3 linked regions of the Tamandua tetradactyla genome follow. The protein of the gene in region 1 interacts with the protein of each later gene in a biochemical or structural test. Links are inferred from orthologs where the notes say so. Each region holds a gene or a part of one and is shown in the gene's direction. Other genes may lie near its edges. The genes, in order: MAPK8, ELK1 and MAPK8IP3.

The links.
Region 2: of the proteins of MAPK8 (region 1) and ELK1, one has a biochemical effect on the other in vitro, tested with the Homo sapiens proteins (3 studies listed by BioGRID). The link is inferred for Tamandua tetradactyla from reciprocal best matches to the Homo sapiens genes MAPK8 and ELK1.
Region 3: the proteins of MAPK8 (region 1) and MAPK8IP3 form a complex in vitro, tested with the Homo sapiens proteins (3 studies listed by BioGRID, with this or other methods). The link is inferred for Tamandua tetradactyla from reciprocal best matches to the Homo sapiens genes MAPK8 and MAPK8IP3.

Annotation. Positions count from the first base shown.
Region 1 is NC_135339.1:7,465,097-7,468,843, reverse strand, and holds the start of MAPK8 (mitogen-activated protein kinase 8), read left to right. Parts: upstream 1-1,142; 5' UTR 1,143-1,306; intron 1,307-3,747. UniProt on the Homo sapiens protein: Serine/threonine-protein kinase involved in various processes such as cell proliferation, differentiation, migration, transformation and programmed cell death.
Region 2 is NC_135353.1:122,482,961-122,486,707, forward strand, and holds the start of ELK1 (ETS domain-containing protein Elk-1), read left to right. Parts: upstream 1-804; 5' UTR 805-1,017; intron 1,018-3,747. UniProt on the Homo sapiens protein: Transcription factor that binds to purine-rich DNA sequences. Forms a ternary complex with SRF and the ETS and SRF motifs of the serum response element (SRE) on the promoter region of immediate early genes such as FOS and IER2.
Region 3 is NC_135349.1:55,767,633-55,771,379, reverse strand, and holds the start of MAPK8IP3 (C-Jun-amino-terminal kinase-interacting protein 3), read left to right. Parts: upstream 1-1,169; 5' UTR 1,170-1,189; coding exon 1,190-1,516; intron 1,517-3,747.

The DNA of each region.
Region 1 (3,747 bases):
AATGAAGGACAGAAGGGAGTAAAGAAGGCTAAGAGGGAGGGAGAGCCCCAGGAGAGAATGAAGGAAGGAAGGAATGGTTACACTCATGTTTCCCTTCAGAATCACTGGGCACAGCTCAGCCCAACACGTTATGGGAAAGTAGTCTAGCTGCATCCACTCATTTACTCAACAAATATTTACGTATTCAGTAGTAAAGTAGCTCATTTATTTCTTGGAAACCATGGAAAACACCTAATGTATAAAGGAGAAACAAACCACCTTTCATTCCATATCCAATGATGAACTGCTTCTAAAATATTTTTGAATATTTCTCTTCCAGTTTTTTTTCCTATGCATATAGTTCATAAGGGGGATCATTTTATGTATATGTATGCACACACACGCACGCTTGTATCTTCTTTCTCTTAATGTTACATTGTGAACATTTTCCCATAGCTGTAAGAATTCCTTGCACACGTGGGTTTTAAATGGCTAAAATGTATTCATTTCATTGCATGGACGTACTTAAATACCTTTCCACCTACTGTCTATTGTCGGATATTTAAGGGCTTGTCTAGCACTTCCAGTGACCATTTGCAAAATATTTACCGTGCTTTTTAGGGCCTCAGAGATAAACAGGTAAGGTACGGATTCTGGGAGGAAGTGGATTTGGGGAAAACAGGAGGAGGCTCTTTCCGGGAGCCTGAAGAAAACAGTTATTTGCTTGAGGGTTGCAGGTCCCGGGTAGGTGCCCTCGGAGTGGAACGTGCGATGTGTCTAAGTGAGGAGCTCTTTGCCTCTCAGATGTGCAGCAGGCGGGAGGTGACCTCTGAGGGGCGGGTCGGGCCAAGGCTCCTAACCTCCTAGTCCAGGGCGGAGGAACTGCCCGCAGGCGGGGGCCCAAGCCACGCGCCGCCACGTGCCCGGCACAGACCCCGCCCCTCCCGCGCCCGCCACGCCCCTCAGCCGCTTGGCACGCGGGGCCCCTGGCCCCCCCAGCTCCGCCCCCAGGCGACCTCCGCATAGCCTCCTTCCTCCCGGCATAGCCCCGCCCCCTGCTGCCGGCCCCGCCTCCGCAATCCGGGCCTTGGGGCCGCGTCCACCCCGCGGGCCGCTCCGTAGGCGCGGGAGGCGGAGTCTGCGCGATGACGTAGACGGGCGTGCGCCGTGACGGCCCGCGTCCCTGTTACTCAGCGGAGCGGCGGAGACCGGACGACGCGGCCCGGGGTGCGGAGCCGCGAGCAGTGCTGGGTAACGGCCGTGGCAGCGTCTGGACGCGAGGGTGCCCGCCGGCTGACTTCCTCCCCTTCGTTCTCTCCGCTGCCGGGTGAGTGCCGCGCGCGCCGCAGGGCCCGGGCGACGGGGCGGCCCCGCCGTGTTTATGTTATTGTGCCGCCGCCGTCGCCGCCTTCGCCTCAGCAGTGACCCCCTCCCGGGAGTGGGGGCGGGAGCGCGCGGGGTGGGGGTGGGCCGGCGCGGGAACAATAGCTGCCCGGCAAGCGGGGGCCGCGCGGGGCTGCGGGCCACCTGGAGCCGGTCCCGGTGGGTCGAGCCGAGCTGCGCCGCCCGCCGTCCCTCTCGCGCGTGTCCCGCTTCCACGTCGGGAGGTTGCCGAGGGGCGGGGGCAAGTTCAGGAACGCCCGGGGGGAGGTCGAAACCGAGGCGTCCCCGCTGCCTCCCGGGTTCCGAGGCCCACGGGGACCGTGCTCTGTTCCTCGGTGGTTTCTTTGTGCTCACGTTTGCAGGCGAGCGCGGACAGCCTCGTCGGAAAGGGCCAGTGTGGCCTCCAGCCCGGGGCCTGTAGCTTGGGCGGGAGGTGGCTTCATTGAGCTGGGCTGGATCTTCCTCTTGAGGGTCAGTCCGTGGTGACCTTTTGACTTTTTCACCCCATCCTCCCGTGTCTTTGTCCTGCACTCACGTCCTCAATCCATACAACCAAGTGCGTTTTAAAGTACTAGGAGAAACACTTTTTCATTTTAATTTCCAAGAGTCTCCTGTTAGGTCTTCACTGTAAATGTAATGACATGTTGACTGCCTCGTATCAGACATTGTCCAGGGCTTACTATTTTTACCTCTCAAACTCAGTGATCTTTCGAGTAGAATTGTAGTGTCAGTCCATTGTGTTTTAAAATAAGCATCCAGCAAGTACCTCCTTGGCAATTAGAACATCTGTTTATTTCACTCATTCATTCAACAGCTGTTCTGTACACAGGTGGAGAGACTGAAAGGTAAAGAGAAATGTCCTTTAATAGAAGAGTGTGCTTTGATAGAAATATAATATGAATACCTTTAAATTACACAATTATGTAAGTCATGTGTTACGTACCTGATGTGTGTAAAAGAAGGTAAGGAGTCCTACTGTAGTTTATTTTCGTGTTTTTGAAATAGTTCGTCTGGAACTGTGAAAGTAATGATATTCTAGGAGCTAGTGCTACATTTGGTCTACAGGTATTTCTAAATTTTACTTTTTCTGCTCTTGTAAAGCCTCTTTTGTAGTGATTACCTCAGAATCTCCTGCTGTCATTTAAGCCTAGAAAGTCATGATGTAATGAACAAGTTCAGTGCAGTACCTCACAAATGCAAGCAATCAAAATGGGACTTCCTTGAGGGTAGGCCTGTCTTGCATTTGGGTTTCCAGCACCTAGCCTGTAAAGTAAGTGCTCAAAAAGGCAGGTTGATGAAAAGCTTCTTATAATTGATGAAATTAAAAGCAAGCCTTAAAAACAGTTTTGATGTTCCCCATAAAGTTCTGGAAGCGTCATGCAAACCGTCATTTCCAGATGGCTAAAGGATCAGTTCCTCTGTATCTGTCATGACAGTTGGGTCTTTTGAATCACCTCAGTATCAGTTTTTTACTATCACTTTTGGGTCATTCACTATCCTAAAACTTTCTCTAAAATGTTTTTTAATGAGGTAAGGTAAGTTGTAAGGTTAGTGTGTGTATATGCCTGTGATATTTTAGTAATAACCTACGATTGCAACGCATCCCTTTGTTAATATTTTTGAAAAGGCTTTTGGTGACTCCTTTATTTTAAGTGGAAAAGCTAGAACAAAGAAACAAGTCGCAGAAATGTATTAGAAATGTTTAATTTCAAATAGAATTTTAGAGAGGTTTATGAGAAATGTTTTTAAACTCTCATATTAACACTGATGAAACGTGGGCTTAAGATCAAAATAGTATTTTATCCAAGTTATATCTCTTTCCCACTATTTGATAAATTTTAGGATTTGTTTTGGATATGAAAGAATTTGAGGTGGGCTTATTTTTTATTTGATGTAGAATAGAATTGAATAAATTAGAAAATGATACTCTATTAAGATAAAAGTTATACCAGATATTTATTATTTTACCTAGATAAAATATGTCCGTTTGCGATAAGGGTTACTGATAAAAATCATCACAGTCAGGTTACATGAGAACCAAGATTTTTGTTTTGTTCTAAATTCTACGTTATATTTAGATAGCTTTGTTGTGATGCAATTCACGTATCATAAAGTTTACTCTACATGTGCAATTTAGTGGTTTTTAGTATGTTTACAAAGATGTGTGTAGACCCTCACTGTCTAATTCCAGAGCATTTTCATTACCCCAAGAAGAAAACCCATAACCATTAACTAAACTCCCTCTTCACTCTTCTCTGAGTCCTATTTTAGAGGAAGAGACAGCAGTGATTCTGTAGATAGGTATTTTGCATTGAGGAATTTGAAAGGAGCATCCTGGTGCAGTAGGAAGATTATGTCCTCATATGTCTCTATATTGTGGGGGAA
Region 2 (3,747 bases), on another chromosome or scaffold:
CTTTCACTCCTGGCGCTAAGGCTTACCCCTGCCCTGCGCCGTAGTCGTTCCGCAAATACCCTAATTATGCCCTAGTTCCTCTCGGCCCAACCTCGGCCTCACCCCTACTTCTTAATGGTTCAAGCTTCTGCCAATAGGTGCAGAGTTGGGTCCCGCCCTTCCCCAGCCCTGCGCGGGCCTCTAAGCTAAGATGAGTCCAGCTTCCGCCAATCAGAGTAGAGCCAGGTTCCTCCCCTTTGTAATTCTGGCCGCGGCTCGACCCTGCCCTCTTCGTAGGCATTTGATTTCCTCCACTCAGCGCTTCTCGTGTCTAGCAGCCGTACCGCCCTCCTACTTCCGCTCCAATCTAAATTAGTATTTTCTAGCCAGTCCTCAGAGTTACGCTGGCCGCCAGGTCCACTGCTACTCCCACTTCTATAGAAGTCCGGCTTCCGCTGAGCAGCGTGGAGTGCGGCACTGCCCCCTTGATGTTTTGGCAGCTGTCTAGGAGACACTTTTCCGCCAATCAGCAAAGGGTAGGGCCCACCCTCTTCTCCGAGGCTGGCTATCTCTTCCATCAATCCTATTTAGGCCAATCCGTGCAGGCAGAAGCCCCCAGACCCTTGTCAGCCGCCCACTGTCTATCAGTCCTTGAGCCAATCAGCACAGGGCATCTGTGGGGCTGGGTTCGCTCCCCCGCCCCGACCCTCGGGCGGCCATCCGCGTTCCAACAGTTCCGCTTGGGCCAATCAAGGCACAGCTCTGAGGCTGTGGGGCCCGCCCCTCACTCCCACCTCCCGAAATCGCACGTTTGATCTGTGCTGCTTGGGCCAACCAGCGAGTGGCAGGACGCTTGTCTCCGCCCCCATGGGCCCACGTGAGCGGTAGGGAAACGCAAGGGCGGCTTGTGGGTGCCGCCGCCGCCGCAACCGCCGCCGCCGCCTCAGAGCCGAGCCTGGGGGGCGGTGGGGCCGCGCATGGAGCCCCCGCCCCCCGGAGCTGCCAACACTGCCCACGCCGCTGCACCGCTCTGCACAGGTGAGCCCTGGGCCTGGAGGGTGGGGGCCCGCGTCCGTGACCCCTTGTATCCTTCCCGCCCCCGCGTGGGGCGATGTGGCTTGGCCCATCGCCTACTGGTATTCGACTCCCCACAGTACCGCCACCGCTGGTGGAACTGCCCGTGGCATTGTCCCCTCCCTTCGCCCCTTGTAGTATATCTGAGTGTGGTCTATCCCCCGCTCCCGTTTTGTAATGGATCAGCCTGCGTGCTTGAATTTTTCCCCATCCCAACTTACAGTGGACCCGTCCATGTTCTAGCCCCCATCCCCACTTATTAGGGATCAGTCTGTGGCACTGTCGGACCCCTTTTATATATAGGTGAGTCTGGGTGCTTGTATTTTTCTGTCCGCAACTTTCAAGGGACCCGTCTGTGGCCTTGTTTGTTCTACCCCTCCTCTTCCTTGTAGTGAATTAATCCGTGGCGTTGTACCCTCACCCCTCTTGAATAGTCTGTCAGTTTATATTCCTTTCTCCTCCAGTCCCCAAGTGCAGCGGTCCATGACTTTATCTGCCGTCCTCCCTCTCCCCCCACCCACCCCATTTTATAGTGGATCAGTTACATCCCCCTAGTCATCAGTCCGTTGCCCTGTCTCTCCTCCCTTTTCTGTACACTGTCAATTCGTGGGTTTCTCCTATCCTTTTAATTCTGAATCAGTCTAGTGCTTTGTATCTCCCCACTTCCAGGAGCGCAGGCCATAGCCTTGTGCTTATCTCCTTTTATCAGTCTGTGTGATGGCTTTTCTTCCCCTCCACTGTAGTGTATCAGTTAGTGAGCTTTTCTGCTGCCCTATTTGCCAGTAGGTGAGTTCATGGCCTTACTCCCCATCCCCTCTTTGTAGTGGATCTGTCCAATGGCCTTCCTGCTACCTGTGTGCTTACATTCACGTCCCTACCCCCACTTGCCCATCTATGAATCCAATGCTTTTATATTCCCCCTCCTTTCCTTGTGGTGCCTCAGTCCATGCCCTGCCCCCCCCCCCCTTCAATAATAGTGGATAAGTCTGTGTGATTGTTGAACCTAGGTCTTTTTTACTCTGGAACACACCCCCTCACACTCTTAACCACCAAGACATTCTTCCTTACTAAAATAAATGAATACATTAGTGATAATGATAATAATGCTAGTAGGAGCTAAAATTTATCAAGCACCTAGTATGTAAGGCATGCTTTTTCAGTGTTTTATATTAATGAACTCATTTAATCCTCACCACAACCCTATGAGATAGGTATTATCATTTTCCCCATTTCACGGATGGAAAACTGAGGCATGGGGAGGTTAGATACCTTACTCAAAGGTAATCTCAGAAAGAACCAGGTTAGGTTGCCCCTTAGGGCACAGGATAATATTTGAGGCTCCCCTCTGTCACTTCATCAAACCCCGCATAAGCCCCACTCCGTTAAAATCAAATTAGTTCTTATCTCCAAGCTTTTATTCTTGCAATTCCCTCTGCCTGCAGAGATGTCTCCATTCCACACCTTGTCCCAGCACCCACCCATCCCCAGTCCTACAGCAACTGTGACCTTAGATTAGTAAATTAACTGTCTTCTCTCTGTGCCTGTTTTCTCTCTTCCAAGATGGGGAGAATAGGGTGAGAACCCCATCACCCCACCCCTGCCCAGTATTTATAAAGAATACCTGAGTTAGTAACAATAAAATAAGTTACCTCTCTGACCTCACCTCCTAGACCTCCACCCCCTCACTAACTCTGCCCCAGTCACACTGGCCTCCTCATGATTCTCCAATACACCAAGCCTTGGGGCCTTTGCACTGACTTTTCTTTCTTCCAAGAACACTCTACCCCCAGATATCTGCATGGTTGTCTTTACAGCTCTGTTAAAATGTCAGCCTCTCAATGAGGTCCTCCCACCATCTTGTTTAAAAGAGATCCCTGGACCCACACACCCAGCAGTACTCAGGCCTCTTCCCTGCTGTATTTGTCTCTGCCTTTTGTCACACTCTTGACACATTGCATAATTTACCAGTTCACTATCCTTTCTGTCTGTCTCTCCCCATTAGAATGGGAGTCCCATGGGGTTTATAGTTTTTGTCTGCTTATTCACTGCTGTGTCTCCAGCACCTAAAAATGTACATGGCATGTAGTAGGTGCTCAATAAGAATTTATTATGGGAATGAATGGAAAAATAATTTCAGACAAATCAGGGTGGGAGACAGATGGAGATGAAGAGGGGACATGAGAGCTAGTTAAGAGGCTAGTTAGCTGGATCTGTTCATTCAACAAACATTTACTGAGTACCAGATGCTCTTCTAGGTGCTGAGAATTTGGGAGGGAACAAAACAGACAGATATCTCTGCCCTTGTGCAGCAGCCATTTATTGAGGGAGACAGCCTATATAAATAAAACTGTAAATAAAATTAGATGGTATTTTAGAGAAGTATGAAGAGAAGAAAGGAAGGTAGACATTGAGTATTGGGGTGTTTGAAATGTTAAGGTGGAGCAGCTAGAAGGAAAAATCTGAGATAATGGAATGGTAGCCCATGACAAACTCTGGGATCTGTTCTGTAACTACTTGTAGAAGAGTGCTTTGAAAATTATTGCTTTTTTCTTTCTTTGCTTTGTAAATATGTTATATTTGCGATTTTTAAAAAACATTAAAAAGAAAAGAAATCTTAGGGTGGCCAGGGCAGCCTCATTTGGAAGGTGACTTTTGAATTAAGGCCTGGATCAGGAGGTGACAGAGAGAACCAAA
Region 3 (3,747 bases), on another chromosome or scaffold:
TGAACATGTATACAGTAAATTGTGTTGCAAGGATAAAATCTGTAGAAAATATAGTGTGTGTTTAGGGGTGTCAATGACAGAAGAATTCCTTGTTTGGGTGTAACTGGGATATGATGAGGGTTCGCATTGGCTCTGAAGCATTTCAGAAGGTGAAAGGGGAGCATTTAAGCAGGCACTGATTTGGTTTTTGACCAGAATTCACAGCACCTATGTGGCCTACGTAAATCCCAGGCTGAAAATGTTAGTTGTGGGTTCAAAGAGCCCCCGATGCCCTGCAAAAGAAAAGACAAACCCTGCAGAGCAGCTCATTTTAAAACAGCCACAATTTCACAGATGACGTCCCATGGAACACTAGCTAGAGGGGGCTGGGGGAGGGAGCCTGAGCAGAATGCAGAATCAGACCTGAAAAATTTGGTAATGGAACTCAGATACCAAAAAAAAAGCGCTTAAACTGTAAGGAATAAGCGCCTATAAGAACTGGTAAAACATAAGAAAACCAAATGGGGCAAATAGAAAATTTAAAAGTAACCACTGAAATGAAAAATGCAATGGACAGGTAAAATAAGACAGCAGAAAAACGAGGATCTGAATAAGTTACACAAAAAAGCAGGGCAGAAACAGACTAAGCTACAGGATTTTAGGGTGGGACGAACTCGCATCTGGTTGGACGCAGAGGTGTTCTTAAGAAGCGGTGGGCCGCGCCGTGGGGACGCGCAGCTCCGCGGTCACGCTGCACCGGTGCTCAGAGGACCGCGGGCGCCGGGCCACGGCCGCCCTGGAGAGAAGCGCCGCCGCGGGGCTTCCAGGGACGTTCCTGTTTGTAAACGGGGGCGGGCTGAAGTCCAAGCAGAACCGTTTGGGAAACACCACACGCCCCCGGTCTCGAAGCCCGGGCGGGTCCCCGGGCGGCTCCACCGGAAACACATCCTGCCCAGCCCAGCCGAGTTTCCGCCCCCGCCCCCCGCGAGACTCGCGACACCCGCTTCCTCTCACGCTGGGCGACCCCTGGCGGCGCCGCGCGGCGGGGCTCCGGCGCGGGGGCGGGACTTCCGGCGCGGGCGGGGCTTCCGGCCAGTGAGTGACGGGCGCGGCGGCCGAGCCTGAGGCGACAGCGGCGGCGGCGGCGAGGACCTGCTGCGGCCTGCGGACCCTCGCGGCGGCCGGACGGCGGGCCGCGCTGGCGGCGGCGATGGCCGCGATGATGGAGATCCAGATGGACGAGGGCGGCGGCGTGGTGGTGTACCAGGACGACTACTGCTCGGGCTCGGTGATGTCCGAGCGGGTGTCGGGCCTGGCGGGCTCCATCTACCGCGAGTTCGAGCGCCTTATCCACTGCTACGACGAGGAGGTGGTCAAGGAGCTGATGCCGCTCGTGGTGAACGTGCTGGAGAACCTGGACTCGGTGCTCAGCGAGAACCAGGAGCACGAGGTGGAGCTGGAGCTGCTGCGTGAGGACAACGAGCAGCTGCTCACGCAGTACGAGCGCGAGAAGGCGCTGCGCAGGCAGGCCGAGGAGGTGCGTGGGCCCGCGCGGCCGCCCCCGTCCCCCCCGCCGCCCCGCTCCCCGCCCGCCCCGTCCCCCCCGCCGCCCCGCTCCCCGCCCGCCCCGTCCCCCCCGCCGCCCCGCTCCCCGCCCGCCCCGTCCCCCCCGCCGCCCCGCGCCGCCCGCCGCCCCACGCGCCGCCCGCCGCCCCACGCGCCTCCCCTTCTCACCCCCAGACCCCGGGGTCACCATCTCCGGCCCCTCCGCCGCCCAGGAGCGCCGCGGGTGTCGGGAGCCCTTTTCCTTTGTTCCTCACGCAGCATCTGGCGGGTCTGCGGCTTGAGTGGACCAGGTGGTGGACATACCACGTCACGAAAGCCGCATCGGGTGAAAGACTCGGGTGGGGAGGTGCCCCTTGGCTCCCTGCGGGGGCGACAGAGTTGGCTGTGGGCGGCCAGGGGCTCCGCCCTGGCTCTGCAGGCTTTGAAAGGTTGGGTTGTGTTGTAGGCCGCCTCCATTGCCTGGAAATCGGCCGGTTTGGGGCCAGCTGTGTGCGAGGGAATACCAGCAGCTTCGTTCCTTCACCACCGAATACTTGAGCGTGGTCACTCGCCCGACCTGCGGCTTTGCCCTTTGTGGAGGACAGCAGAGTGAAGGGGGGTGGGGGATATGGGATTCCACCCCTGCCTGGCCGCAGACCCCCTCTGTGACCTTGGCCGCTGGCGGGCCTGCTCCCGGCTGGGATGCTCCATCAGTCAGATGAGCAAGTTGCCCTGGATGGACCCCCGCCTGGAGGTGCTGCTGTGGCAGGAGTTAGGGGGAGCGCTTTGATTTACGGAGAGGAGGTGTCCTGTCAAATGAGTTCAGATTCCCTTGTCATTCATGTAGCACATTCCTGACTTCAGTACTGAAATGAAAGGTTGCTTCAGTATTTTGAGTTTTCCTTAAACCCGGTTTACACCCTCATTTGACTTAAAGTTTATTTATAGAAAGGAACAGTGTCTTGTACTGTTCCTATTTAGTGTGGTTTATTTTGCTCTGGGATTTCCTGTTATCTGTCAAGAGGCTGCTGCTGTCTGTTGATGGGGGTGCCCAGGTGCCACCAGAGCTGAGCTCAATCTCTCAACGTAAGGGCGTGCGATAGCGCAGAGAACTTCAGAGCTCAGAGCAGCCTGGGCATTTTCCGGGGTAGGAGCCACCCGAGGAGTGGAGGGACCCGACCAAGGTCACACACTGCGGGTGAGCAGGACTGGGCCCTGGAGCGAGCCCTGACTCCCAGCTTGACACTTCCTCCTGTCTCAAGCTCTGGGGATCAGAGTACCATACCTGGGCACTGGGCACTGCCCTCCACCTCTCTCTCGGCTCTAGTGCCCATTTGATGCACAATGGAGGTTTCAGATTGGTTTTTCTTCCTTCAGTAGTGGGTGAAAAGGAACTAAAAGGAGAAAAGTCAAAAGGGACAGTCTTGTAGCTAAGAATCATAGCTTTGCTTTAAAATTAGCTGTACATAGATCAGGCTTTCTCTGCTCTGTGCACTTCACATGCAACCTCTACCAAGTGTGCTTTGCCCTCCTACTGACCCTCACTGCTGGACTGAGAGCTGTTGGGTGTGCGTGTGTGGTTGGGGTCTGAGAACCAGCACTAGGGCAGCTATTCAGAGAAGCTGCCCAGAGAGCTGCATGAGCAGAGAGCCGTGAAGAAAACACATACTTGGCTAGCAGCCTCAAGGTTTGGGTTAGATGCTGGTAGTATGTCCTTGGGAAGACCTCAAGTGATGTTACAGCTACAGAAATGCTTGGCATTCTAAGTCACTGTTAAATCAACCGGACATGCGTTTTAGTTCTGTGGGAAAAGACCACCATGGCACTGCGGACCAGCTTCTTTCTCCAGACAGAGAATTGTGATGACGTATTTATGTGTCTGATAACAAGGGCTAGAGTATTGCAAGCTCCAAGATGTTGGCGTTGCAGACTCCTCCCATATGAGCCCTAGCCGGAGCCTGTCCCCAACCACTCTGCTCAAGAAGGCTTAGTCAGAGGAAGTAACCTGAGCTGCCTGCAGCCTCTGAGCAGACAAAATCTGCAGATTTTCATAAAAAGAGAGAGAGAAAGCCTTCAGCAGGGCAGACATGCCTGTCCCTATTTCTTTTTGCCTGTAATAACTGCAGTTAGAAATTGCGAGTATGTTCTGCTACCAAGTGGCTAGTTCAGTGGGACTTGTGGTAACCGGAGACCATGTGGTCCACACCTGGTAGCGCGGACGCT